4 linked regions of the Notamacropus eugenii genome follow. The protein of the gene in region 1 interacts with the protein of each later gene in a biochemical or structural test. Links are inferred from orthologs where the notes say so. Each region holds a gene or a part of one and is shown in the gene's direction. Other genes may lie near its edges.

The links.
Region 2: the proteins of PTPN11 (region 1) and INSR form a complex in vitro, tested with the Homo sapiens proteins (2 studies listed by BioGRID). The link is inferred for Notamacropus eugenii from reciprocal best matches to the Homo sapiens genes PTPN11 and INSR.
Region 3: the proteins of PTPN11 (region 1) and FRS2 interact in a test that uses a peptide from one of them, tested with the Homo sapiens proteins (2 studies listed by BioGRID, with this or other methods). The link is inferred for Notamacropus eugenii from reciprocal best matches to the Homo sapiens genes PTPN11 and FRS2.
Region 4: the proteins of PTPN11 (region 1) and PECAM1 form a complex in vitro, tested with the Homo sapiens proteins (4 studies listed by BioGRID, with this or other methods). The link is inferred for Notamacropus eugenii from reciprocal best matches to the Homo sapiens genes PTPN11 and PECAM1.

What each region holds. Positions count from the first base shown.
Region 1 is NC_092875.1:33,754,226-33,761,386, reverse strand, and holds the start of PTPN11 (tyrosine-protein phosphatase non-receptor type 11), read left to right. Parts: upstream 1-4,152; 5' UTR 4,153-4,425; coding exon 4,426-4,439; intron 4,440-7,161. UniProt on the Homo sapiens protein: Acts downstream of various receptor and cytoplasmic protein tyrosine kinases to participate in the signal transduction from the cell surface to the nucleus. Positively regulates MAPK signal transduction pathway. Dephosphorylates GAB1, ARHGAP35 and EGFR.
Region 2 is NC_092875.1:51,121,499-51,128,904, reverse strand, and holds the start of INSR (insulin receptor), read left to right. Parts: upstream 1-4,404; 5' UTR 4,405-4,697; coding exon 4,698-4,788; intron 4,789-7,406. UniProt on the Homo sapiens protein: Receptor tyrosine kinase which mediates the pleiotropic actions of insulin.
Region 3 is NC_092874.1:246,983,743-246,991,606, forward strand, and holds the start of FRS2 (fibroblast growth factor receptor substrate 2), read left to right. Parts: upstream 1-4,859; 5' UTR 4,860-4,995; intron 4,996-7,864. UniProt on the Homo sapiens protein: Adapter protein that links activated FGR and NGF receptors to downstream signaling pathways.
Region 4 is NC_092873.1:327,459,816-327,466,759, reverse strand, and holds the start of PECAM1 (platelet endothelial cell adhesion molecule), read left to right. Parts: upstream 1-3,932; 5' UTR 3,933-4,177; coding exon 4,178-4,211; intron 4,212-4,299; coding exon 4,300-4,326; intron 4,327-5,198; exon of another isoform or gene 5,199-5,288; intron 5,289-6,944. UniProt on the Homo sapiens protein: Cell adhesion molecule which is required for leukocyte transendothelial migration (TEM) under most inflammatory conditions.

The sequences.
Region 1 (7,161 bases):
AAAATCGTAGTATGAACATGCATTTATACAGCACCTTAAGGTTTACAGAGTACTTTGTAACACTCTGAAGATACAGTTCAAGCAAAAGAAGAGGAACCTTTCATTTTTTAATATAATGGAGTTGTTAGGTTTCTTAAGAGGAGTTCATCTAATTTAAGAGGAGTCCAACTAATGGGAAATAACATATTCCTGTCCATGTCATCCCGATGTAATTCCTGGAAGAGGTGAAGTTTCACATCTAAGTTTTACCTTATAAGCTAATAATACTTTTATGATATACATATAAACAAATAATACTATTATACTAATAATGCGCTCGTTGAGTTCACCTGTGTGACCTTGGGAAAGTCTTTAGGTCTCAGTTTCTTCTTCTGTACAATGATAGTTCCTTCTAGTTCTCATATTTAACAACTACATCTTTTTAGTAGAGAGAACATTGGGAGAGAAGACAGAGGGCTTGGATTCAAGTACTCACTCTTTGTGACAACGCGCAAGCAATTTCCCCTCTCTGGTCCTCAGTTTCCCTGTGGTGGGAGCATTAACTCATGGGAAAATCCTAAATTCTGCTCTCATACAAGTTGGGATAGTTTTAGATACTGAAATTGTCCTTGAGATTTGTTTGGCTAAGACAGCTTAAAGGCTTATTAGGCTTTTAAACATCATTTCCTGGTCAGTAGAGTCCAAAACAGCCGAGAGGACCAGGATTCCCTGTTGCTTGGCTGGCAGAGCATGATGGTCAGCTCATACAAGGTCAGCTCAGGGATTCCTCAAGCCACATCCTTGTTGAATATTCTTCTGCTATGGCTAAGTAAATCTCCTTTTGTTAACTCTTGAATGACCAAAGGGTAGGACATAATGTAAGAAAAATGTCGTTATCTGCAATCAGAACTGGAAGGAACCTTAGAATAAATGAGAAACAATGTTTTTAACTAGAAGGAAGGGTCTTTAGGGATTATCCAGTCAAACTTCTTCATTTTGACTATAAATGTATAACATATATTTAAATATTAAGTTAAATATAAAACATATAAACATTAAGAGGGTGTGGCATGATGGCTAGAGAGCCCAGGAAGACTTGGCTTTGGTCCTGCTTTGGACACATACTGACTGGGAGACTCTAGGCAAGTTGCTTCACCTAGACCTGCACTGGGAGACAGAATTTCCTAGGAGTTCCTTATACCAATGAAACCACAGGTTCTATCTAAAATAAAAATTGAAAAAAAGAACCCTCATACTCATACATAGCACTTGCGTAGCATCATCTCATAACAAAGAGGACAATTATTTTTAGCCTCAATTTACAGATGAAGAAATTGAAATTGTGAGAAGGGGAGTAACTTACACATGATCATATAGCTGCTATGTAGGTGACTTGAGCATTTATATAAAAACAACCAAATAGCTCTCATTTATATGTTGCTTTGTGGTTTGCAAAGCCCTGTACCAATATTCATTTTATCCTCACAGTCACCCTGGGTGGTAGGTCCAGGTCTAGTACTCTTCGTCATTACACCAGGTTACCTTTGAATACATGAGCAGATCTTGTGGTTGGTCCTTCATTGGACCAATGACATCACAAACTGTGACGGGTGATGGCTTGACTTGCTGACTCCAGAACCGATGCTACTTTTCTCCTCTGTTCTACAGAGTCTCCATTTTTTGGTCTTAGAAATATTTTGCTCCAGTGATTACTAGGGGATGAAATACTTTGTAACTATTAATTCTCCAAAGAAGTTCTGTGGCATCAGATTAAAAATAAAACTAATAATCTACCAATTCATGTGACAGTAGACTTGGCTGAAGTACAAAGAGGGACAAACTTGGAGTTAGAGAGACCTGAGTTTGATTCCCAAGTTAGATTAAGGAGCTATCAAGTAAAGGTCAAGTTACTTAACCATTCTCAGCTGTAAAATAGGTATAATAGCTCTTTCCTCACAGAGTTGTCTTGAAGGTCATATACTAATATACACAAACAGTATCACAAGCTTTAAATTCCTATGTACATATTAGCTTATCACTATTATTCAAAGTTCAAAGAGTATTGAAAGGAAAGGAAGGAAATAAGTACTTCCATAGTGCCTACTCTATGTCAGGTGGGCAGCTAGGTGGCACAGTGGATAGAGTGCCAGGCTTGGAGTCAGGAGGACCTGAGTTCAAATATAGCACTAGACACTTAAAAACTGTGTGGCCTTGGACAAGTCACTTAATACTGTTTGCCACAGTTTCCTCATCTGTAAAATCAGTGGGAGAAGGAAATGTCAAACCAATCCAGTATGTTTGCCAAGAAAATCTTCAGTGGGGTCACAGAGAGTTGGACAGGACCAACAGACAACAATATGTGCCAGATGCCACGCTAAGCACTTATTTTAACGAATATTATTCCATGACAAATAATTATCTCATCACAATCCTAGGAGGTATGTACTGTTAATATCTACATTTTACAGTTGAGGAAACTGAGGCAGATAAAGGTAGATAGAGGCCAGGAGGTCACCTCTGCTTTACAAAGGAAGAAGCTCAGGTTTAGGTGACTTGCCTAGGATCACACAGTAAATGTCTGAACTCAGATCTCCCTGACTCCAGACTCAGGGCTCTATCCTTTTCATCAAAGAGCTTACGAAATAGAAAATTTAAGAAATCTCATGTCTTAACATAACTAACAGGTTAACCTAATATTTCTATAACTCCCACATAAAAACGTACTTAGCAAGTGTTTGTGGGAGTATTAAGATCATTTTTCAAGCAGGCATTTTTGGCATTTGAGTTCTAACATCACGATTGCTATTTTTTGATCTTAGAAATCCTTTGTTCTGGTGTTATTTCCACTTTAATAGAATGTCAAAGCTGGGAGAGCCTTTAAGGACAGAGAATGTCAGGGCTGGGAGGGGACTTAGAACAAGGGGTGCCAGAGCTGGGAGGGGCCTGAGAACAGGGGATGTCAGGGCTGGGAGGGGCCTCGGAACAAGGGGTGTCAGAGCTGGGAGGGGCCTTGGAACAGGGGATGTCAGGGCTGGGAGGGGCCTTGGAACAGGGGGTGTCAGGGCTGGGAGGGGTCTTGGAACAGGGGATGTCAGGGCTGGGAGGGGCCTTGGAACAAGGGGTGTCAGAGCTGGGAGGGGCCTGAGAACAGGGGATGTCAGGGCTGGGAGGGGCCTTGGAACAAGGGGTGTCAGGGCTGGGAGGGGCCTTAGAACAGGGGGTGTCAGGGCTGGGAGGGGCCTTGGAACAAGGGGTGTCAGGGCTGGGAGGGGCCTCGGAACAGGGGGTGTCAGGGCTGGGGGGTTCTTAGAACAGGGGGTGTCAGCTAGATATATACAACTCCTTAAGGTTTGCCAATAACTTTACCAATATGACTTCATTTTATCTCATAACGTGTTTGGGAAGCAGGTTCAATTCCGTTCAGTAAGCGCGCATTAAGCACCTACTACGCGGTGCGCAGCAGGGATACAATGAAGCAACCTGCAGCGCCTGGCCTCCAGGACTTACAGTCTAGGGGAGGAAACCCCCAGATCCGAACAGCACCGGCCCCGCAGGGCAGGAGGGGGAGCACGTGGCGGAGGGGAGGCTCACGAGGGGCTTCCTGGAGGAGCTGGGAGAGTCCGGAGGCAGGGGGCTGGTAGGCACGGGGGCAGCCCGAGCCGAGAGGTGCCCCCGGGGCCAGGTTGGGCAGTGAGGGGCGACGCCTGCACAGACAGGCTGGGCTGGGCTAGGAAGGCCCATGCTGGAGGGCTCCTGCAGGTAAGAGGGAGCCGCGGGAATTGACTGAGTAGGCGCCTGTGCTTTGTCTCCCATTTTACAGATGAGGAAACTGAGGCACAGGTTAAATGTCTGGCTCGCCCAGGGTCTGACGCTGGATCTGAGCTTCCAGACCCACTCTCGCGCCCACCTGCCGTGTGCCAGGCACAGAAGGGGGTGGACGGGAAGCTGGGCCGGCACAGCGTGTACCCTGGGAGCCTCCCGCGGGCCCAGTGCCTGGCACGTGGAGGGCGCTGGCTCGGAGCTCGCGGATCCTCCTGACACCAGAGCGCCCCCTCGCGGCCGTTTGCTTCGGGGCGGCCCAGGCTGGCGGGCGGAACCCCCGGCGCGGGGCGCAGTTGCCTGCGCAGGGGGAAGCCGGAAGTGCGCGGCGCGCGCGGCCGGCGGGAGGCTTTTGGGGCCGACCGGCGGCCTGGCGGGAGGTTGGCGTCGCAGGCCGATGGCGTCACTGTCGCGGTGCCGGGCGGCGAGGGGCGGGGGCGGAGGCGCGGGGGAGCGGAGCGGAGCGGAGGCGCTTGGGGGGCGGGGGGGGCGGCTCGTCTCTAGTCTCCGGGATCCCGAGGCCTGGATGGCGGCCGGAGCGCCGCGGGCTCCGCGCTAACCCTCGGCCCGGCCCGGCCCGGCCCCTGAGGAAGCGGATCCGAGGAGGAGCCCGGGAGCGGGAGGAACATGACATCCCGGAGGTGAGCGCCGCGACCCCCGCGACCCCCGCCCGCCCACAAAGCACCGCGCGCCCCTCCCCCTCCCCGGCCGCGAGACCCCCTCCCCCACCGGGCGGGCTGGGGGAGGGGCAGTGGAGTCTGTTCTCTCCCCTCCCCCAGCCGCCTCTTCTGGCTCTTACCCTTCTGCCCCTCCCCCGCCCCTCCCCCTCCCTCCACCCTCCCCGTTCCCTTTTTATCCCTTCTCCCTTTCCCCTTTCCCCCCTTTCTTTCCCACACCCCTTTCCCCTGTCTTTTCATCTTTCTCCTTCTCCTCTTTCTCCCCTCCCCCTCCCTCTGTTCCCCCTTTCCCTTATCTTTTCATCTCCACCTCCTCTTCTCCCCTTTTCCTTTCTTTTTCCCCTTCCTCTTTTCCTCCCTTTCTTTATCCCCTCTTCCTCTCCTCTTCCCTTCCCCTTTCCCTTTCGATTCTTTTTTCTTCTCCCCTTTTGCTCTCACTCTTCTTCCCCTTTTCTTTTCACCTTTCTCCCTCTCCCTCTTTCTCTCTTTTCTGTTCCTTCCCCCTCCTCCCTCTCTATTATTCCCCTCCACTCTTTCTTTCCTCTTCATTCTTCCCTCTCGTCTTCACTTTCTTCTCCCCCCTCCCCCTTGTGCTTTATTGTGAGGGTCAAATGAGAAAATATTTGTAAAGAGCTTTTCACCTAGTAGACTTTTAATAAATGCTTATTCCCTTCCCCTCTTCTTTTCCCTTTTCTCTCTTTTTTCTCCTTCCGTCTCTTCTCTTTCCCCTCTTTCTTTCCCTTCTCTCTTTCCTTCCTCTCTTTATTTGTCCCTCCTTTCTCCCCTCTTTTTCCTCTCTCCTGGTGAGCAAAAACTGTCTTTTTGTCTTTCTTTGCATCTCCAGCATTTAGCACAGTTTGTTATCTCTCTTCTGTTTCCTTTTTCATTTTCCTTCCTTCCCCCTCTTACCCTCCTTCAGGAATCTGCTGCTCTTGCTAGGTGTGGGGATCTCCTGATTCCCTTCTGTCTCCCCAGGAATGTCCCCGTTTTCGTTTCCCCTTCCCAGCTGTGTGTCTTTCACTTTCCTCTATATATTTAGTTTTTGGTATTGGAAAAATAATAAACACCTTTTCATGAGGTTTAAAGCACTTCTCATAATAACCTTGTGAGATACCAGCCTTATTATTACCATTTAATGGAGGAAGAAACTGAGGCTCCCAGAAAGGAAGGAACTTGCTCATGGAAATATGGAAATACTGCTACTAAGTGTCAGAATTGGATCTTCTCCTCAGGTCTCTTCGTGGAAACACTGATCAGTACTCCTTTCCACTCTACCTTCTTTTCCTCTTGTTTTCATCCAAGGGGGACCAGGGTAGAGACTCTGCTCCCAGCTGCTCTTCTCTTTTGTGATCTCTTCATTCATTCCACTCTGCTCTAAGTAATGACTCTTTTAGTGCCTCCAAGCTGGAAGGCAGGGATTGTTTATAAGCAGAAGATACAAAGCTGAAGTAGGTCATGGTTGTGCACTACATTCCTTACTCATTGCTTCATGAAAATTGCCTAATAATTATTCAGAAATCACAGCCACCCTCCTTTGGGGGAGAGGTTCTTGGTGCTTGTGTATGTAATAATGCTCCTAGTTAGCCACTCTGAGGCAGTGCCTCTCTGGACTGGCATTGGTTAGGCAGACCCGAAGTAAGCCTCGAGGTAGTTTTAGGTCCTTTCCTCAGGTTATTCATGTCCAATTCTTGGCAACTGTCAAGCTCTTTCCTCTTCTGGACAGAATCAGTAGCATTAGTGAGAATTGGTGTCAAGGTGCGTTGGGTTTCTTAGATGAAAAGATGTAGGCTGAAGAATGAATTATTACTTTCTAACTATTATTAAGCTTGTACAGTCTGTACAGGGCACTTCGTTGCCCTCAGTCAGACCTATCATTACTACCAGATGTTACTAATCCTTTATGGGTTGTACTGGCTATAGACCCATCTTTTTTTTTGGTTGATGACTGCTCAGTTTTGTTCAGTCCCAAAACATCACCACTCTTTTGTGATGTTTAAATAATAGCATTGGGACAGGGTATGATCCAAATGGGAAGCTTCTTAAGAAATTAGGAATATTTCCCTAATACTCTTTCTCTCAGTCTTTGTGTCTTTCATTCTGCATCTTTGTCTTTCTATTTGTTTCCGTGATTGTTTGGGGTAGGGAAAAACCAAACCTGGAAACTTTAGGAAGCGAATGACCTGGGCAGGTGTGATGCCAAGCTCTGTCAGATCTGGGTGCATTTCAGCAAGACGCTGTGTGGCTGTGGCCTAAAGTGTCCTCTCTCGGAGCCTTTGTCTGTGTGTTACTTCATCTATCAAAGTAACCATTGAGCCTTTGTTCAAGGTCTGCTATTCTGAACTAGGAAGGAGTTGCCTTTCTAGGACATGAAAAGCATGGGGGGAAAGGGGGGAGGGGGATGTACAGGAAAGGGTCTCCTTAGTAAGAGTTGTGTTGCCTGATGATTTTGGAAACTGCAAAGTCTTAGCCAGGTGAAGCTGCCCAAATGGTCTAACTGAATTTTAAATGACGGATAGCCTGCTTTTCCTCCAGTTCGCTTCTGCTGTTGAGAAGAAAACTGTCTAGTTAACAGCAGCACAGGAATAGTAACTGTGATAGTAATCACTGTCAGACAGCCTAGAATGCTGGACTTGGAGTCAGGAAGACCCGAGTTCAAATTCTCTCACACTAGCTGTGTGACCCTGGG
Region 2 (7,406 bases), about 17 Mb from region 1:
ATCTTTTCTACCACAAAACTGCTGCTATGAATATTTTGTTAGATATAGTGCTTTTCTGTCTTCCATCTTCTTGGGGGCTATGTGGACATTTATATTATTTTGTTTTAAATGAAACATTTTTAATTTTGAATTTAACAAACACCAAAAAGACAGAACATTCCCACATACAATTTAAAATAAAAAAGAGAAGATTTTCTATGGGACATTATGGATCTCTACACACACCTTGATTTTAATTTGAATAAATTCAATGTATAACTTTCAGAGCTATCCTGCTTGCCTGTTTCCTTCTGAACTTCCCTTCTGTTCTCTTTTGTACATTTAAAAATACTTCAATTATCTTTTTTGTTTCTTTTATTATTTTTTTTTGTAATGGTATCTCCAGGTCTTTCTCCCCAATTCTTTTCCCAAATAAAGATAAAATCATCAAAATAAGTAAGCAGTCACATAAAATAAATCCATATATGCTGTGTTGTTTTATTTTAAATTTTAAAATCTTATTTAAAAATTTTAGGGTTTGTTTTTATATCAAATTCACGTCTGGATGTATCCCTCTCCCCTCCTCTACCAAGTGATGCTGATACTTCTCTATGATAAGAAAAACTTAAAAAGAAACCAACCAGAAACAAAGCAGTTCAGTAAAACTAATCAAGAGTGTATTCAATATTCTGAACCTTGACAGTGAAGGGAGAGAGGTACATTTTCTCAATCCTTCTCTAGGGTTGTTTGGTCACAGTTACATATCATTCAATTTCTTTTTTTCTCCTATTTATGTTGTAGTCATTGTGTATATTAATTTCTGGTTCTGCTTAATTCACTTTGAATCCATTGCTATGTCTTGTGATGCTTCTTGGAATTGTTCATGTTTGTTGTTACTTGTGGTGCTTCTCATTCCATTTGTCTCACAATTTGTGTAGTCATTCACAATAAGTGGGCATTTACTTTGTTACCAGCTCTTTGCTGCCTAAGAAAGGGGGACTATGAATGTTTTGGTGTATGTGGGATCTTTCTCTCCTTGTCCTCCTTGGGTTTTGGGGTTATAGTTCAGGTCCAAAGGTACTTTTCCTACTGGCCCCTGGCAAGTGGCATCCTCAAAACCCTGCTGTTTTATTTTCCCTTAGGATTCTAGGTTTAGCCCTCAGGGCATCGAGTAAGGTAGAAAGAGAAGTTATCTTTCTACAGCTACAGTTTAAGAGCCCTTAACTGGTGGGCTTCCCCCATGATTATCAGTCGCTATTAACTAATCAGCAAGACGTAATCAGCTTTTACAAGTGAGTATTTATTATGGTGGTATAGCTGGAACAAAGTAATCTCTTAAAAGTCATCCTTACACTTTTCTTATAAGTATATACAGAATCCAGAAAGTGGGTTTGAGTTTAGAGAACACAGGTGGCCAAGGGGAGCTCTCAGAAATCCTTTGGCAGGAGTCCTTAGGACCTTGCCTTAGATAGGTATGGTGTCCCTTTCCTGTTTGAAAAAACACTGAGTTTTGCCTTTCCTCATCAAGTCCAGTCTATATCCTTGTTTCCTGATGCAGACACTGCTTCTCTGAGCTGTTGTTCCCTGGGACACTAAAGTTCAAATCCTCTGGTCTTCCAAAGTTCACAGAAATCTTCTGGTTAAAGAGGGTGGAGTGGGGAAGAGACTGATGCTGGTTCCAATCCTCCCCCTCCCCCTAGAAATTCTCTTTCAGGGGCTTGAGTGGAAAGGCAATTAGAACGGAATCCAGGAGTTGAATGTGCTTGCTGGTTTTATAGAAGCCCTACTGGGTGCAGAATGAGACCAAGTCTCTAAACCAGACTTAAGGTACAACTTTTCTTTGGTTCATCCAGTAGCTTTCAAGGCTGTTGAGACAGGTGGATGTGGTAATGGTAGTGTTGGATAAGCAGGAGGGAACACCTGAATTCAAATCTCACTTCAGATACTTACTAGCTGTGTGATCCTGGGCAAGTCATTTAACCTTTGTCTGCTTCAGTTACCTCACGTGTAAACTGGTAATAGTCATAACCTCCATCACAGGTTTATTGTGAGGATAAAAATCAGAAAATACTTTTTTAAAAAAGGTTTTACAAACCTTAAGGCATTTTATAAATGCTAGCTACTTTTATCATTATTATTATTTCAAAGATATCTAAATTGATCAATTAGGACTTAGTCCAAGCCTGCGATTAATTGATTGGGTGGACTTGCTCATATTTAGTATGGTTCTCGCTTGGTTAAGGTTTCTGAGTGTAGCATCTCTCCACTTGGCGTGTACTTGTCTAGGTTGATTCCTACACTTATAACCTTCCTCTTTTGAATATTTGCTATCATCAGCAAATCTGCTGGACTATATTTGATCAAGTCTATAGTTCCAAATCCCAGAGAGCCTTTTAGTGACTTGAGGAGGTTTTGCATTACCCTTTATGAAAGCTTTCCCCAGCGTCTGGTTCTAAAGAGACTAGAGTGAAGTCTATGGGAAACAGGCATTTATTTTCAGGGAGACAATCCAGCAGCAGTTCTTTGTCAGTGTTCTGGGCTCTGCTATTGACATACCATGAGACCTTGGGCCAGGGTCTTCCCCTTCCGTGCTCAGTTTTTTCCTCTGTCCAAAGAAGGGTAGACTACTCGGACTTTGGGGGCCTTTCTTCTTCTGAATGCCTGGCACTGTGATTCTAGACAGAGATGCACTACTTTGCTCAGGACTGACAAGCAGGGATGATTCAGTTGACAGGAAAGGTGTTCGGGAAAATCTTGCTGTTCTTAGGGAGCCCAAGACTATTCATGTAGATTCTGGCTGAATCAAACAATCTCTTCTTCCTGCTCATTCCTTGGGAACTGAGACTTTGCCCTCTGCCCCTACTTATGTCCTTCAAAGTGACCTGAACCTATGACTCTGTGATCCCACCTTATGGCTCTAAAACTTTCACAGCCATTATATGACAAATATATTTTCCTGTCCTTGGATAATGCTGTTGGTATACATTACTTCTTAAGCTGAGGACAATGAACTCATGTTCTCCCTTCCTAACAGAACTCCCTTCCTGGAGAGCTGCTAAAACAAGCGACAGAATCAATGAGTTATTTTGCCTCACATGTATTAAGTACCTTTGTTTTCAGAGCCTGGTGTTACGCACTGAAGGAGATACAAACTGGGTAAGATACCATGTGCTTCCTCATGAAGCTTATGGTTTAGATAGCTATAACAAATATTACATATGGATTACAAAGGTTTGAGACAAATATTTATGTGAGGAGAAGATATTACCAACTAGGTAATGGGGAAATGAAGGAAGACTTCCTGGAGGAGATGTCTTTATGAGTTGGACTTTGAAGGATAGGTAGGAATTCAGCAGCAGAAGGGCAAGAAGGACGAAGGGGTCATTCCCTCTGAACTCTTATAGGTCTTGTTCTGAGATTCAGTCATAGAACACAGAACATAGAATGTGAGAATTGGATGTGATCTGAGAACACAGATTGTCAAACCTGTGAGGGACCTTAGATCATAGAATGTCAAGAAGTGTGTATGTGTGTGTGTGTTGGAATACAGAATGTCACAGTTGGGAGGGACCTTAGAACATAGAATGTCAAGAACTGGGAGGATTGTTGGAACGCATAACTGGAAAGGATCTTAAAATATCGGCTGAGCTAGAAGAAAACTTAGAACATAGACTAAAGAAATGTCCTTGGGAAACCCAGAATGTCCGAGAGGGAATGAACCTTAGAACATAGAATGTCGAGCTGGAAGGAACTCTAGAACACAGAACATCAAAGCTGGCAGGGTCCTTAGAACACAGATCTTGAGGGGCCCTTAGGTTATCGGATGTCATGAACCTTTTTCCTTTCACCCCACCTTCTCCGCACCACCTCCGGGGGCTTCCTTCTCTCCCCCTCCTCTCCTGCTCCCCCCCTCTCCTCCTCTCTCTTCTCCTCTCCCCCACCCCCGCCTTTGGCTCCGCCCCACCCCGCCCCTTTCATCTCCCTCTTCCCCTCCCGCCCCCGCGCCTCTGGGGCCCCCAGCGCCCTCCCTTCCAGCCTTCTCCTGTTCCGCGCCGTCTTTTCCAGCGTCCCGGCCAGGGCCAGCCCAGCCCAGCTGACGGGGCCGCTGTGTTTACTGGCCAGACTCGAGCGGGGAGCGAGGAGCAAGGAGCGGGGAACGCTGGTGCCTGCGGGGAAGGGGCCGCCGACGAGAAGGAGGGGACAGGGCCAGAGCAGGGGCCTGGGGGGGCCCAGCACGCGGCCGAGGCCCGCTCTCCAGGGGGCAGTGCCCAATCCGCAGGCGCGCCGTCCAGCCCCGGGCAGCGGGGGGGTTACGGGCCTGGGCCGGGGCCGCGATCTCCGGGGAGGGGGCGGGCACGCGGGCGGGGCGCGGGGCTGCTGCTGGACGCGGCCCAGCCAGCGCGGAGGAGGGGGAGGAGGCGGAGGGGAGGAGTGAGGTGGCCCCGGCCCACGCCCCTCCCGGGCCCCTCTCGTGCCCCCGGGCGGGCAGCCCCCCACCCACATTTCCTGCGCGGGGCGTTTAAAGGACCGTGGGTACGGCCCGCCTGGGCCCGCGCTGCCCTTCCCTGCCGTGCTCTGCCCCGCTCTGCCCTGCCCGCCCGGGCCGGGATGGAGCCCGCCGCCCCCTGCTCCCGCCTGCCCCGGGCTCTCTGACCCACCGCTCGCCCCCCGATCTGCCGCCGCCCCCCGACTGTCAGTCGGTCTGTGTCCCCAGGGCCATGGGGGCCGTGCGGCCGCTGACTGTCGGGCTGCTCCCGCTGCTGCTGCAGCTGCTGCTGATCACTTCGTGTGGCTTGATCTCCGGAGAAGGTGAGTATCTTCTACTACTAGGGTCTCTATCCCTGAGCCCTGGGTCCGAGGGGCCCCTCAGAGCAGCCCTACACGCTGGGGCTGCCACGGCCCGGTCGAAGGGAGCTGACCTTGGCCCCTGACCTCCCAGAGTTCAGTCACAGGTCTCTCCGGGGGGCCCCAGTATGAGGATCTGTCCCAGCCCTAGGATTCAGGCAGGTCCAACGTCTCCCAGGTTCTGTAGCTCAGCTTGGGCCACCTTGGCTTCCTTCCTTTCTGTCCTCTGTGAGCCCCCACTGGGGGTCCCCTCAACTCTGACCCCCTGATTCTCCCTATCCCCGACCCTTCCTGGGTGTTCTGGAGCAAGATCTAATCATGGCCTCCTTCCACATCTCGGTACCGTCACCTCCGACATCACCACCGCTTTGACCTGGTAGAGATGGTGGGGTACTAATCAGTGATCGCTGAAGAATACTTTCCCCCCTTCTCAATCTCAGGAATGTCTGCCCCAGGAGTAGGTCCTGAGGCTCTTCAGGAAGGTCTGGCATTACATTTAAAAGCCAGGATTTTGCCTTTCTCCTCTGGGAATCTCTGAGCCAATGGTCCTGAGAAAAGCAGCCTGATGAGCCCTTCCCACCTCCCCACCCCCCAGCCCCATCCCTGTGTGTTCTTTTCAGGGTTTTGTCTGTGGTTGTTCCCAACTCCAAACTGCTGTGGGAGGGGCGGAGGCCCAGCCTGGGTCAGTTATAGGGGAGGAGATGGTTTGGAATGAAGTGAGGGGGTTGGCCAGGAGGATCTCTTAAGGTCCCAGTCTGGCTCTGATATTGTAGGAGCCACATGGAACCACAGACTTGCAGAACCAAAGGACTTTAGAGATCCTTTTATTGTTCAGAAAGAGAAACTGAGACTCAGAGAGCCAGAGACCTGCCAAGGGTGACACACAGAGCTCCTTCAGAGAGTAGCTGTCTGACTTGCACTCCAGCCTTCCTTCACTGTCTGCTGAGACCTGCTAATTCTTAACCCTAACAAAGGAACTTTAGCTTTGTTCCTTCTCTTGTTTAAAGTTTCTTGCCCTGGCTGATGATCAGGGTCTTCCCTTGTAACATTCCATCCCCTGGTTTTCTGATAGATGTAGAACAGTGCCTCAGGAAAGGGCTTCCAGCAGATGTCTGGGCAGGAACTCAGGAGAGATGGAAAGGCTTGGTTAGGACAGTACTTTGGCTCTTGGGCCTGTTTGCTCTATCTTGGGGTGGGCGGTGGGGCATCTGACTCTCAGGGCCTTTACAGGTGCTTTCACATCCTTAGTTCCTGGCTTGGAGAGTTTGGGGCTTCTCAATGAAGTTGTTAACCCAGGGGAGCAGCAAGCAGCAAGAAAGACAGTGAATGAGGAGCAACTGCTCCCCAAGATTCACAGGGGCCCTCTGAGGAATTTCTAAGGCCCTCCTGACTGAGCTGGGATTTATTACCCTTTCATTATTTTTATTATTATTGAGAATCATCAGAGCTCAGATTATCTGAATGTGGACGGGGAGAGATCTGTTGTCTCTTTTTCAGGCACCATTGATAGCACATTCTTATCCTTAAATCTGGCAGAAATAATGTAAGGGGGAAGAGGACCTTCTGGGTTTCAGAACAATGAGGGATGTCATTTTTCTTCACCATTCCACCTTGCACATGTTCTGGGGCTTGGAAATTGTCAAGGATCAAGACACCATCCTTTGTTTCACAGAGCTTCGAGTCAGAAGCCTTAGGTTCAGATTTCATCTCTGATGCTTACTACTTGCAAGTCTCAACCTCCATGGGCCTCATTTTCCCCATCTGTAAAATGAAGGGGTTGGATTAAATGGCCTCTGGGATCTCTTTCAGCTCTAGAGCTAAGAGAAATTTAGTGCGTTGATAAATCAAAGAGAAGCCCCAAACATGGGAGAAGGTAATTATCTCTATCTTTGGGTCTTTCCATGGACTGACCCTGCAGTGTCTGGAATTTGTTCCCTCCTCACCTCTGCCTCATAGAATCCTTAGCTTATTGTTTTCAAAGTACAGCTCAGATGACACCTTCTACATATGACCTTTCCTAATTCTGCATTGTGTTCCTCCCCCTCTCCATTGTTAGTGCTCACTGTCTCTTAAAATGACTTCTGTGTTGTTTGTTTATACTTTGTATTTATTTATCTGTGCACATGTTGTCTCCTTCCAGGAGAACATGAGTTCCTTGAGATGAGCATGACCGGTTTCTGCCTTTGTTATCCCCAGCGTCTAGCTCACTATGTGGCATTTCTTTAGCATTCATTCATTGCTTATTGAATTGACTCCAACTAGATCTGGGTGGAAATGCTATTTCCTAAATGAGAGGCATAGGCCGCAAGTGTCCTAGGAGCTCAAGTGAGGGAGGGACAGGAAGAGGGAGAGAGGAAGAGAGAGACAGAGGGACAGACAGAGACAGAGAAACAGAGAGAGAGAGAGAGAGAGAGAGAGAGAGAGAGAGAGACAGAGACAGAGAGAGATAGAGACAGAGAGATAGAGACAGAGAGACACAGAGAGAGAGGGAGAAAGACAGAGACAGACAGACAGAGACAGAGAGCTCAAGATCGAGCTATGGCAATCTGAGAGAGCTTTGGAGAAGAGAAGAGCTTGGAGCT
Region 3 (7,864 bases), on another chromosome or scaffold:
AGAAAATTGACTCTTGAATCAGAGGATTTGTGTTCATATCCTGTCTTTGCTATTAATTAACTGTATAATCCCAGGCAGGTCACCTAAACTCCCTTGGGCCATATTTTCCTCATCTGTAAAATTAAGGGGTATCTGTGTGGTGTGTGTGAAGTAGATGGTGTTTGAGGTTCCTGCCAACGTTAGGGCCTATGATTTGCACAAAATCAGCAAGTAGCAAAGTCAGGATTCACACAGGGTCTTTTACCTCTAAATCCTGGGATCTTTCTAGAAAACCATTTGGTATGGGAACTGTAAGCCCTGACACAGAGTGCAACCAAAAGGGAGAATAATAGGGAGTAATGGTTTGGTTGCTGGGGTGGGGGTGAGTGGGAAGGAGAAGTAGGACAAAAGTCACCCATGAAAGCCACAGTGAAGGCAAATAGAGCCATAATTACAAGTTCCATCTAACCCCTTTCTGCTCATGCTCCCAAGGTGATATTCTAAGTACAAGATGGGGGAGGCATGGTTAGGAAGCAGTTTGTCTGAAAAGAGCTGGTGGTTTTGGTGACTTGCATTAAGAGAGACTTGGGGCAGCTAGGTGGTATACTGGATAGAGCACTGGGTCTGAAGTCAAGAAGCCTTGAGCTCAGCAAGGGACTCGGACACTTACTAGGTGTGTGACCCTGGGCAAGTCACTTCACCCTATTTTCCTCATCTTCATCTGTAAAAGGAATTGGAGAAGCAAATGGCGAACCACTCCGTATCTTTGCCCAGAAAACCCCAAATGGGGTCATGGAGAGTCAGACATGACTGAAATGACTGAAGAACAACAGATTAAGGGAGGTTTAATAGAAATAAAGTAGTAAGTCACACCACTCTGCCCTGGTCAGATGATATCTGCAGTATTGTGATCAGTTATGAGTATCACATTTTAGGAAGGACATTGATAAGTTGTAGGACATTCAGAAGAGGACAACCTGAATGACAAAGGACCTCAAAACCATGTTAAATGAGGACTGGGAAAAGGAATTTGTAAGTTTAACCTATAAAAGAGCGAGGGGGAATTCAGTCATTTCAGTCATGTCTGACCCTTCATGACCCCATTTGGAGTTTTCTTGGCAAAGATACTGAAGTGATTTACCATTTCCTTCTCCAGCTCATTTTACAGATGAGGAAACTGAGGCAAACAGGGTTGAGTGACTTACCCAGAGTCATATACCTAGTATAGCAACTGTTTTCAACTACGTAAGAGCTGATGTGAAAGAGAGTTGAGACTTATTCTGTTTCACTCAAGGTGCCAAATTAGAAGCAGTGTGTCACAGAGCAGCCAATTTAGACTGGAAAAAGCTGCCAACAATTCCCAGCTATCCTAAAGAGGAACAGTCTGCCTTGGGAGGTAGTGGGTTCCCCATCATTGGAGGTCTTCTAGCAAAAGCTGGAAGACAGACCACTTGACAGACACATGTTGTAGAAAGGATTCTTTCTTTTGTGGGTTATGATCATAAATCCCAGTGGCAGCAGAGGAATTCAATTCAAAGGGCAGACTCAAATTCCTGAGGACTTCTCTATTTAGCTGGGTGGGGACTAAAATCACCAAGGAACCCCCTGAGGTTCTGAGCCCTAAGAACTGGTAGACAATATCCCCCCTCCCTAAGACCTCCCTACTAGGGAGGAGGCTTTACAGCAACTGAAGCCCAGTGAGCAGCAGCAGAGTCCAATAGCATCATGGAGAGATAGCAACAGAGAGGACCCTAGCTCAGTAGAGACAGTGCTTGCTCATAGTGTGACATCACCTAAGGAAACAAGAAGCAACATTGGAGGCAGAAAATGGCATTAATAGGGTCTCTGCCCAAACAGCATGAGTACCTCTCACTATAATGCTCCCTAGCCCCATGAGTTCCCATGGATGACTGAGGAGGCTCCATACATGTGCTGTCATACATGTTGCCCAGGTATGAATATTCTTTTGGGGGGGAGTCTTTTTAAAAAATTGAGTATTTTAAAAATTATTTATTGAGTATTTTCTTTTCCCCTAATTAAAACAATTTTTAACAATGAATGTTCTTCTTTCCCACCACTGGTGTGAAAACTTGTGAGAGACTGTGTTTGCATATCTATGGTAGGAAAGATTTTTTTTCTTGTCACTTACTTTGCTATGCTATTGAATTGTCTTTTGCTTTGAAGATATACATCAGTAGGATTGCTTAGCCTTAAGTATACTTTAAGCTCAGGGGAGTTTTCATGGTTCCCACTGGAAGGATCTCCCTTTCCAAGTCTTTTCATCCCTGTGTGGTTCTTATCTACGTTTTTATCTTATAACCATACCTTCTTCCCTGGCCACCACACCCTCCTATAAAATGTTCCAGGATCAAGACCCTTCCTTTCATACTACAAATGGAGGGGGGGAGACAAGGCAAGAGAAGAAAGGGAGACAGAGAAAGAGGAAGGGAGAGAGTGAGGGGGGGGGGGGAGAAGGGAAGGAGAAAGGAAGAGAGGGAGGAAGGGAGACAGAAAGCATGTGCATGTGGCATGGGGGTTGAATTAAGTGATTTCTAAAGTCCCTTCTGATTCTAAAGTAGCAACAGTCTAGGTGTGAGATGATAAGGGCTTGAACTAAAGCAGGAATGGGGGACCTGTGGCCACAATTCCCCCACCCCTGAAGTGAAAAGGGGATTCAAGAGACATTATGAAGGCTTAATAGCACTTGGTCGCTGATTTATTTATTCTGAATTTAAACACCAGGTAAAATGGGCATCTGTGTATATGTGTGTATGTACATACACATACATATGTGTATATATATGTGTGTGTATATAAATACATGTATAAAAGAGGATTGTACATGAAACTGTAGACCTGTTATGTACAGCTTACTTTTCTTTTAAATCTATACGCATATTATATATAAAATATAAGTATAATAAAATTAATATATAACTTTCAAAGATGTTCTATTTGTGATTCAGATTTTTTCTTCTATGCATTTAAAAAAAAAGATACTTCAATGACCCTCTTTTCTTTCTATTTTTTTTCCTTTTTTATTTTTTGACTATATTATCCTTTTGACTATATAATCCCTTCTCTCCCTTCCCCCAAACAGGAAAACAAAGCCCTTGTAACAAATACGCATTAATGATTTAATTTTAAAATTTCTCAAGTGCCTATAGTGAGCAAGGCTCAGTGCCAGGACTTAAGACCTTGGATATATAGGCTGAAGGATGTGGAGGAGATAAAGGTCTCCCTGAAACTATAAGGCTGGCCAGGATGAGGGGGTTAATATTGTTGACAGAATCCAAGTTTTCTGGCACTATCTGTGTAGTCTTGGTAAAATCCTTTGACTTCTCTGGGCCTCAGTATCCTCATTTGTAAAATGAAAGGGTTGGACTAGATGAGGGGTTCTTAACCCTTTTTTGTGTGTCATGGATCCCTTTTGCAGTCTGGTGAAACCTATGGGGCCCTTCTCAGAATATTTTTAAAGCTATATAAAAAAAATAGGATCACAGAATAAATCACATTGTATTAAACAATAAAATCAATACCATAATGATATATTATTATTTAATAAATAATAAGATTTAATAAAATAAAAATAATAAACAATAAAATGCTTATCAGTGTAGATTAATATTAACAATTTCATATAAACTAGCATTAATGACAGTCACTGTAAATTAATGATAATGTTAATAATGATCCATATAGATTAATATTGATTACATTAATCAACAATGATCAACAATCAATGTAAATAATTATTAATATAAATTACTATTAATGACTACCAATGTAAATTAATATCAAGAATTGCTAACTTTAAGGATGATCAATATAAAGTAATATTTAAAATGATTATATAAATCAACATTACTGATGAATATAAATCAATGTAAGCAATTTATAGCATAAATTATTTACTAATGGCCATCAATGTGTATTAATATAAACAACTGCTCATACTAATAAATATGCATATATTAATATTAATAAGGGTTGGTAGAAATTAACATTAATGACCACCTATGCAAATTGATATAACTGCGATTAATAATGACCAACATACATTAATTAATATACATAAATCACCATTGTGTATTATATAAATTTATTATGTTTATTATATAAATCACCATTAATGATTATTAATAGAAATCAATGTAAATAATTAACAAAAATGCCTATTAATGACCACTGGTGTAAACTGATACACAAATAAACATTAATAATTATTAATATGGATCAAAGTAAACAATATAAGTCACAACTAATGGTCATCCGGGTACTTTAATACCAATAATTGTTCATCTGAAAAATATCGATTTATTATCAGTGGATTTAATAAGCCAAACTTGATGACTCATTGTAAATCAGTAACAACTGTCAATACAAATAAGTATGGATAATCAATGGAACTTGATTTAGGGGTATTATTAAATTGTATCAAAAATTTTTCCAAGTCCCGGTCTGCCGGTTAAGGACCCCTGGACTCTGTGATCTCCCTGCAAGGCTCCTTCCAGCTCTAACTGCGGATGCGAAGCCCCAGGTGCGGGCAGGTCCCCGCTGGTACAGCAGTCTCGAGGTCCAGGCCGCAGCGAAGCCGGGACACTCCACGCACGCCTCCCCAGGGCCTGGGCCGGGGATCCCGAGAGACGCCCAACAGGCCGCTCCAGGGTGCCCCCACCTAACCCCCGCGGGCTCGGCTCTGGCCCCGCCCCTTCCCTGACGTCAGGTGCCGGTCCTTCCCAACCGAGGTCCCGCCCCCATGGGGTCCCGCCCATTTTTCCAAATCCCCGCCCACTCTTCCCCAAGAAGTTCCGGTGCCAGACTCCTTCCCTACTCCCCACCCCCTCAACCGGAAGCACTTCAGCTGAGCTTTGGGCCAGAGTGAGGCCTTGTAGCCGCCGCCGCCGCTGCGGCTCCATCGCGGGGGGTACAGCCGCCTCCTCTAGCCGGGGAAGGAGCCCGAGGGCTCGGCGTCCCCTGAGCCGCGCCCCGCTGTCCCGGCGCTCATGGAGCAAAGTAAGTGGCAGGGCCAGGGCGGGGGGTTGGGGGGAAGCGACGCCGTGCCCAGGTTGGGGGATGCAGGGGCCCTGCCTCCCCAGCTCTCCGGCGGCGGCGGCCTCGTCTTGGGGTCTCCCCCAGGCTGGACCCCGCAGGAAAGCTCGGGGCAGAGAGCTCCCACCGGGGGAGCTCCGACCTGGGCCCGGGGGGGCGGGGCGCCTGGGCTGAAGCGGGGATCCCGGGGCTACGTCTCGTGGGAGTTTGGCTTCCCCCTAGGCAAATCAGCAGTTATTCCAAGCAGGCACCAGGCTTTGTTTGTTTTTTCCTCTTCGTTGTATCCTTAGCTCTTAGCCCCGTGCCTCGTACTTAGTAGGCGCTTAATAAATGCCGGTGGCCCGCTGGGGACGGTGCTAAACTTGGGGGATACAAAGAAAGGCAAAAAACAGGCCCCGCCCCCGGGGATCTCCCCGTCTAATTGGGCAGACAACCTGCAAACAACTGTGTACAAACGAGATACGGGCAGTGTAGAGTCGGAGTAGTTTCGGGGGACAAGCAGAACCCCCTTTTTCTCCTTGATCACCGCCACCTTGCTCAGTCTCCTTTCCCATTCGTAATCCCCGAATGGAAGGTGGATGTGGCTGCTTCCCTGATCCCCCATCTTTGAGGCGATGTGTAGCCCGAGGGGACCGGGAAACTTCTGCAAATCAAGAAGTTTTGTGTTTTGGGGTTCGGATCCCTCGAAGGCCTTAAAGGAGATGTTGCGCTTCCAGCTGTCCTGGACTGTCTTCAGAGTTTGGTTCGGGTTGCGTTAAATTTAAACAGCTCCTTTCAGGAGTTTTACTCACTACACTTAAAAAACAGATTTCTTTTTCTTGCGAAAATGAGTAGTTTAGGTAGGCGCCTGCACTTTGTTGTCGAGTTTCTCCTCTAATCTCTGAATTCCTGTGGCTGCCCAAGAATATTCAGTGATCAGCAGAACACTGATCAATGCAAAAACATTCCTCTCGCCTATGTGGAATGAGGTCTAACTGCATTGTCAGATTTTTGTCAGTATAGTGGGTTGGTGTGTATTCCTTAACCGCACTGCTTTGTTTGAAGTGGGGAGGGAGGGAGCCCATGGGGTGAGGTGTTCCTGGAAAGTGAAAGTGATGTTTTAAAAAAATAATGAAGCATTAAGAAGAATCATCTGAGGTGGAAAAAAGAGAAACAAAAAAGTGTTGAGCTTAATCTGTGGTTGATACACTTACTGAAATTTAGGTCAACATTATAGAGAACTTAGAAGTTATGTGTTCGCCTTTATCTTTGTATGCTTTCTATTTGGGCCTGTTATATATGGACTTGTGTGACTTTTCATAAAACTGTTATAAGGTGTGCAAAAACAGAGGTTAACACGAATTGAATAGATGTGATCATATTTTTCATGGTAAATTTCATTTTGAGGTGATGCTCTGCTTTTGAAACTTTATATAAGTGCATTTACTAGAAACTTCTCTGACAGGCAGATTATAGGTGGAAACTGCTTTTGGTATAATTTTAGAGAGCCAGTAAGTTTTGTATTGATTTTTTTTTTCATTTTGGAAGCAAGACACTAGTTTTCAGTGCCTTGGAGATCGTATTGCACTGCAGATCTTAAATATCATGTTTGCATTTAATCTTTAAAGCTTAGCAAATACATTATAGTCTATTTTCTCACTAATTTCAATATATTTCAAAGAATACTGTGAAAAGTCAACAGCTTAAAGACAGATGACATTTTAAAAAACCAACCATTTGCAGTAAATGTGTATATAGTGTTAAAGAAGGAAAATGCAAAGCCCAGTTGAGTTAATGGAAGAAAAGTTAAAAAATCACAAGTTATATAAAAAGATGGAAGTCACAACAGCATTGAGTTCTTGTTTATGAAGTGGAGAAAGAAACTAAATTTATTTCTGTTATGAATCTGGAACAGAAGATTACTGTTGATGTCTTTAAGGAAGGAACATAAGTTGTATGTAGTTTTTGGGGAGGTTTTTTGTGGGCTTTTTGTGTGTGTGTGTGTGTGTGTGAAGACTGAAGTTTCTGAGCTATACAAGAGGATAGAGGATAAGGTTAGAAGGCAGGTTAGATTTGGATATAGTGATCAATATATGATTGCTAACTTGCTTTCAAAGGAATATCCCAGGGAGTGTTATGGAAGAAGAAAGTATAGAGGAAATCAAATAAGGTATGTGTGTCTTGGAACATGTTTTAAAAGCATTGTATTTATTGTATTTAACGTGGTAGGTAGCTGTCATTCTTTTTCATTAAACAAATATTTATTGAACAGAGAGTATGGTAGACTGCATGGTTGTAGATGAGACAGAAGCTCACCATCCATTAAGGGAGATAAGACAAATATATATTCTGTAAGACTATGTGATATTTTATAGGAGTGGTACAGACTTAAATACTTACTATGGGAGTACGGAAGAGAAGGGGAATCAGTATGATATAGTGCACTTGGAGTCAGAAAACCTTATATAAAATTCAAGACCCGTTTCTGCTATTGATTAGGTGCCACTTTAGACTGACTTCAATTCTGGGCCTTGTTCTCTTTGTAAAATGAAGGGGGGAGTAAATAATTCAATACACGAGCCCTCTTTTGGTTCTAATCTGTGATTTCTACCCAAGATGACCAGGGAAGGCTTTATAGAGACATGCTAATTGTCCATTGAAGGCTGTGAAAGATTTGACAAATAAAAACAGTTGATGAAAGATCATTATAGAAAGAGGGAATGGCATGAGTGAATGGGAACCACAAATCATCAAAGTTCTCCAGACTACAGAACTCATTTTTGGAAGTAGTAGAAATTTTTATTATTGTTGTTATTATGTAAAAGGAGCTCATTTGTACAGTGCTATAATGTTT
Region 4 (6,944 bases), on another chromosome or scaffold:
CATCCCCACGGACTTGACTTTCTTACCTACTCTCTTGGGCCCATCTGTCTGGGAGGGAGTTTCCTATCAAAACAAGTCCTGGGGCAAAAATAAACAAATAAAAAAGAATTTGAAAGAAAGGAAGTGAGAAAGAAAGAAAGAGAAAGGAAGGAACAAATTAATGAATGAATGCCCATGACTTCTATATCAGTCAGGCTAGATACAGAACCAGTATCCTGTCTTCACCCTGCCCCCAAGACTGCTAATACTACAAAGAGACAGAGAAAGAGACAGAGAGATAGAAGGAAAGAGACAGAGAGACAGACACACATGCACACACACACACACACACACACACACACACACACACACACACAGAGCACCCATAAAAGAATTTCCTCTACCTTGAAAAGTTATAAACAATTAATCTTCAGCTCTGAGTCTCCAGTCAGGGAAATGCTCTGGCAGTACACCACAGCTGTAAATTGCCATCCCAAGTGCTCCCTTACGGCCCCTTTCCAATATGTTTGTGCATAGCCACACATGTTTTATCTATACAAACGATTACTTCTGTGTTGCTCTATCTCTATCTCTGTCTCTCTTTCTCTGATTTTCAACTTTTTCTTTTCATCTTCTTCATTGATGTCTGCATGTATGTCATCACACCTTCCCCTATCCTTAACATGCATATTAGGGCTGGTCCTAGGAATCCCACCCTCTTTGTATTTATGATCTTTATATTATTATATTGAAAAGACAACACAAACAGAAATGCAACCTGCGCTTCGATGGACATGCCTAGTTCTAACACGGAGACACCCGTCTTGAACATGCTTTTTTGAGCATGCCAGATTTACCTAATATGGAGTCAGCTATGACCCCTACCACATGGATGGGGAGAGTCTACTTTGATTGGCTGCCTACGTCTTTAAAACTGGCAAGATTAAAACTTGTTCTTTTTGACTACTCTCTTCTCCACCAAGTTTTCTGACGTGCCCAGCTTGGATGCCATGAAGTGAACCAGTGAAAGGGGAAGAAATGTACTTCCCTTCCTCCCTCGCTTTTACTCTCACTTCTGAGAAATAGGTCTAGGGGGTGTTTGTTACTGTCCTGTGCTGTTTGCCATCTTCAGTTACAGGTGCTAGAAGTGATGTCAATGGGTCTGGGAGTTTGAGCCATGGTTCAGCCTGGGAGCTAGGATTGCAGGTGGGGTGGTGCAACCAGTCAGAATGGCATGAAAGTCCTGAGAAATCAGGATGCCTTCAACTAGAGCCCATGAGGGGGTTTTGAACTTGGAACCGGAACTGTGTACTATGGGAACCAGGCTAAACTATGAACCTAATCCTCTTTCCCTCTCCAGAGACAGAGAGGGCGTCCTGTCTCCACTTATTGGGAGTGTGCTTGTGCTTACATTTTTTGAAGTAAATATTTCTAATTTCCAGTCTGACTGTTTGTGACTGATAGAAATGGGGTACAGGAGCATAGTCCTCTATACTTGGGGGAGGAAGACAATTACTGGGGGCTGGAGCCAATGGCAGAGAACTGTAAAGTTAAGGGAATTTGAAGATCTTCCCTGCCCGTTAGTAGGCTCATGTGACCTGCTTTGAGCTTTGGCCCAGCCCACAGCTTGAGTCACATAGAGTCAATTGTGGGAGGAGCTTGCCAAATGAGTGGAGCTGAGAGAGAGTGAGGCAGAGCTGAAGCAGAGCAGCTAGCATGAGTGAGAAAGAGTGGAATTTTGCCTAGGGGAACTTGTTTGTGGGGTGGCCTAAGAGAGGGAAGGCTTGGGGATACCTGTATTCCCTTCATTGGTAATGTGTACAAACTTTGTTGTTACCATGGTGGAATTGGCTTTCTGGTGTTGGAATAAATATTTTTTCATCTTTGAGGAAGAGAGTTTATATTTTGAGAATTTACCCTGGAAATACACATACATACCCATAGCAGCTGCTGTGGGTATCGCATTGATGCTACAAGAACCTAGACCCCCCAAATCACTTTAATGATACTGGAGAACCCAAAGGGCAGAGTGAAATGTAACATACCTGACTTTCAGGCAGTGAGGACCAACATAGTCTGTGTTACAGAAAGGTAAACAAACTCTTAAGAACCGAAGGTAAGTTTCAGAAAATAAGGCTCTGAAGAGAGACAGAGGGGAAGAGAAGAAAGGAGAAAAATAGAAAAATCACTTTCCTATGGGTCTATAGTCTGGGGAGTGGGTTTTGGTGGCATCTTTCCCAGTATGCCTGGTGCCCAGCTCTGATTCTAGAGTCTGGCACCAAATCTTACAGTTAAACATCTTCCTCTTTCCCAGGACACAATCTTCAGCTCAGTTACTGAACCCCCCCCCCTCAATATCCCAACACACACACACGCACATGCACACGCACATACACACGCACATGCACATGCACACACCCACTTCTGTGTTAATGCATTCTCCAGTGGCCCACCATCCTGTTGTCTGGGAGAATAAATCTATGAGTCACATCAGACTCCTTCGGTTAGTCCCTAAGTTAGGGCAAATCCCTGGGTGATTGAGGAAGGAAACACTAGTGTGATTTCTGCCAGAATCAACAGGCAGCCAATCTCCACTGTCCTGATCTCCTTGACACAACACCAAGATGGTACTATGTATATATTACATTTGTACACCCCACCTCCCACAAAAAAAAAGCTCAAACAAACCACTATGTAGCACAAAAACATATCCCACCCTTTCTGTACATATTCTGCACTTCAATCAAATTGCAGGGAGAGTGACAAGCAGACAGACACAGAAACACAGTAAAAAACTAACAAAAAGACACCATGCATGCATACATGGACAAACTGAGATAATAAGATATACACAAAAACCAATGGATGTAGGAACATCAAGCTGAATAAGCTGAGAAAGGCAAACACAGAAAGCTGTAGAAAAAGGGAAATGGACCGGGAGACTTAGATTTTGCAGTGTTTATGTTCCCTTGACTGTGGACATCAGAATAAGTTACCCTTACTGTGTGCTGATAAGTTCCGTAACACTTTAAAACAGTCCTCACTGTACCAGGAAGCATCTTTTCTGTTTTTATTTTCAAACTTCAAAGTTTACTTTTGAAATAAGAGATTATATTCCAATAGAATTCTAAAGGTTTTTTTTTTCTCTTTGAGAATGTAAAGGAATGACATATGTTTTAGAAATTTACTTTGGTTCCACAGCATGTCTGTTTACTACCAAATGCCTTGGTCCTGAAAATTACCTCGTAAAACCAGCATTTCTTGAATTCTTCTGGGACTTTAATCTTTAGAAAATTGAAGACAAATCCTTTTTTGTTTCTTTTGGTTGAATGGGGAGCTGGAATATAGAATGGGAGGGAAAACCAATTTGTCTATAACACCATTCGGAAACAAATGAGTTAAAGTCATAAGGCTTTGAATTTGAGTTCTATCCCTGGCACTCCTGGGCACCTTCCTTAGCCTCAGTCGCATCCTCTGTAAAATGGTGATAACAGTGAATCTTTCAGGATTGTAAAGTACTTTTTAACCACGTGGAGCTACACAAATATGATATTATGATTAATTAGCAAACTCTCATGATTCTGGCAAAGCAAAGCTTTTTTTTTTCCCCCTACCATGGGCTTAGCAGTAAAATCTAGATTCACGACTATTTTAAAATGAGAATAGTTAAAGGGAAGAAATATCTTTCGTCTTGAATATCTTTCTTGAGTCAAGGGAGAAGTCTCCCTAGGTGGAAGGTAGAAATTGGAGGGTCCCTTCATTAAAAGATGAGGGAGTTCCCACTCTTCCCCATTCTGGGGGAGCCAGAAGGAAGATTGACAGGTGTGCCAAGACAAATGTCATTTCTGCTGCTTGTTTTCAAATATACTTTAAGAAACTAAACAAAGAAAATTAGTTCAGCAGCCTCTCAGGAAAAGGCCAGTCATTTCCTGAGTAGCTATCAAACCCGGCCAGAAGCTCATTGTTTTCAGTTTCCAGTAATGGCAGCTATTACCTGACCAGTGAGTGCCACTGGCCATTCGCTATTCACAAAGAGGAAAATCCTTCCAAGAGTGAATCTTAACTTTTCACACTAAGGCTTGCTTATCTATTACCCCTTTTGAAGACAACCTTTCCTACCAGCCCCTTGGTCGGACTTAACCTTCAGCGAATGAGCATTCCTGGGTTCTAGACTGAGCAACTATTACTCCAAGACAAGATGTATCTGGTTCTTCTGGGGATGCTTTGGTTCTGTAAGTTTTTATTTTCATTTTATACCTTAAATTTTATAGGACTTGAAGCTTCTGAGATAATGACACTTGATCTTTTTTTATTTTTTAGGTCCAAGACTGAAAGGTCAAGAGAACTGTAAGTTGTAGATTTTTCTACCTCTTTCCCCCCTTTCTGTCTTGCCTAGGATCTTGTCTAGGATTACAGATTTAGAACCAAAGAGAGTTTGGAGATCTAACCCTCTCATCTTACAGATGAGGGAAGGAGGTCAGACAACTTTCTTTCTTCTACATTATGTTGTCTACTTTGGGACTTTATAAATTACAATTAAACTGGTTTGATTACATTTTTAATGAAAAGATAAAAGACTAGAAGCTCCTCTTTTGGAAGATAATAAAGACATATAAAAATATGATCCTATTAGCACATATGTAAAAAAAGTTTTTGCTTAGTCCAAAACACTTGCATTTAACAATAATGTTTGAAATGTCATGAAAGTTCCAAGTGGGCAGCTGTTTGATTTTTGGAAAAAGTGAGCCACTTCATAATCTTTTTTTCTCTTTCTATGGCCAATCTCATTCCCATTCAGCACACAAAGGGTTGTTTTATTTTTTTAGACCCCAGCAGAGTTTAAGTGATTAGTCTTGGCTGTGATTTTTCCTTCTTCACAGAATATTGATTTGGGTTTATGTTTGATCCCAACACCAAACAATTCAGAATCTTGTGATAAGAGAGAATAAATATGTGTGTGTGTGTGTGTGTGTATCTTTGAAGATTTATTGACAAAGTGAAAATTATATATTTGGAAATTTGGTTTGGGATATAAAATATATGTGGAATAAGGGATTTGTTTTTAACCTTTTGAAAGAGTTTGGCATATTTAAGTAGGTCTGGGAACAAGGAAGAACTTTATATAGGGTAGAGTTCAGTTGCTGAACGGGGAGGAAGTAAAACTGAAACTCTGGAAAAATGGGTAGAAATGTGTGGCTGTTAAATTGGCCTTTAAGTTCAGATTATTTGAGAGTCTTCCGAGGAGGCAGTGTGGAATAGTAGAGATAGCAGTGGAGTTAGAGTTGGGAAGAACTGGTGAGTTCAAATTGGTGAGTTCAAATCCTATCTTAGACAATTATCAGTTATGTGACTGTAGGCGAATCAGTTCATTTCTCTGTGCCTCAGTTTCCTCATCTGTAAAATGAAGGGATTGAGTTTCATGACCTTTTACATCTTTTCTAGTTCTAGTTCTGTCTTTCTCTCTCTGTATGTATATATAAAACAACAAAGGGTTGTTTTTTCTAGATACCAGCAGAATTTAAGTGAGTAGTCATTGCTGCGATTTTTTCTTCCTCACAGATAATTGATTGGATTTATGTTTGATCCTAACACCAAACAATTCAGAATCTTGTGATTAGAGAGAATAAGGTGTGTGTGTGTGTGTGTGCGCATGTATATATAATATATTTTATATATATTATATGTGTATATGTATACATATACGTATATATACATATATACATATATATGTTTCTTCAGGGTGAGCATTTAGTACTTTCCAAAGTACTTTCACCAAAATTTGATTTTTATGATAACGTTGCAAAGCAAGTCAAGTAAGCATTATTATCTCTATTTGCCAGATGAGGATACTAAGCCCCAGAGAACAGAAGTGTGTTTTTCAAGGTTATGTAGTGAATTAGTGGTGGCATGGGGATTACAACACAGATCTTCTGTTTTACAATCCACTTTCTTTATCCATGAAATGGGAACTAACCTAATGGGAGCTAACCTAATCACTTCTCAGGGACCTGTCCCCCAGGTCTAGAAGCTCTCTTTCTTCATCTTAGAATCTCTGGTTTCCTTCAAGTCTGGTCTGCACAAGGCCTTTCCTTGTCCTCCCAGCTGCTTTTCCCACCAAGGTTACCTTGAATCTGTGTTTTATATATGTTTATACACACCCATCTCTCTCCTCTTTCCTTCAAAATAGAAGCTCCTCAGAGGCAGGGATTGTTTCAATCTTATCCTTGCTTCCTCAGTCCTTAGCACAATATCTGACACACAGCAGATGCTCAATAAATGCTTGTTAATCGATGAGGGCAGAAAGTCTTTTGGAAAATTGAAATTCTTTCATTTTGCATGATCTTGGTAAGTTTGGCAAAAATTCCCAGGCTCTTGGTTCTGTGTCTGTTTTTCATTGAAGTAGCAATGTACATTTAGAGCAACTAGGTGGTGCAGTGGATAGAGAGCCAGGCCTGGAGACAGGAAGACCTGAGTTCAAATCTGGCCCCAGACACTTGCTGTATGACCCTGGGCAAGTCATTTAACCCTCTTTGCCCTCAATTTCCTTATCTGTAAAATGACTTGGAAAAGAAACTGGCAAACTACTCCAGTCTCTCTGCCAGGAACCCTCCCTCCCCCCAAAAAAGAGTTACAAAGTCAGACATGACTGAAGTGAGTAAGTGATAACTATAGTAATGTACATTTAGGCTAACTACTTTTCTCTAGACCTCAGTTTCCTCCTTGGTAAAATGAGGTGACTGGGTGATCTCTAAAGCTTCTTCCAGAGTTGATATTCTATAATGATTGCAGTCCACAATCAGCAAGACATTTGTTCTTAGTTGGAAATGGGAGAGAATTCCTCTTTCCCCCGGTAATGAGGAGAGGAAGAGAGCCACTTGACTGGACCCCACTCATTTCATCTCAGTGACTTATATGAGTCAGTGAGATGACTGATAAAGTAGGGGCCACACACGATCTGTGGTCAA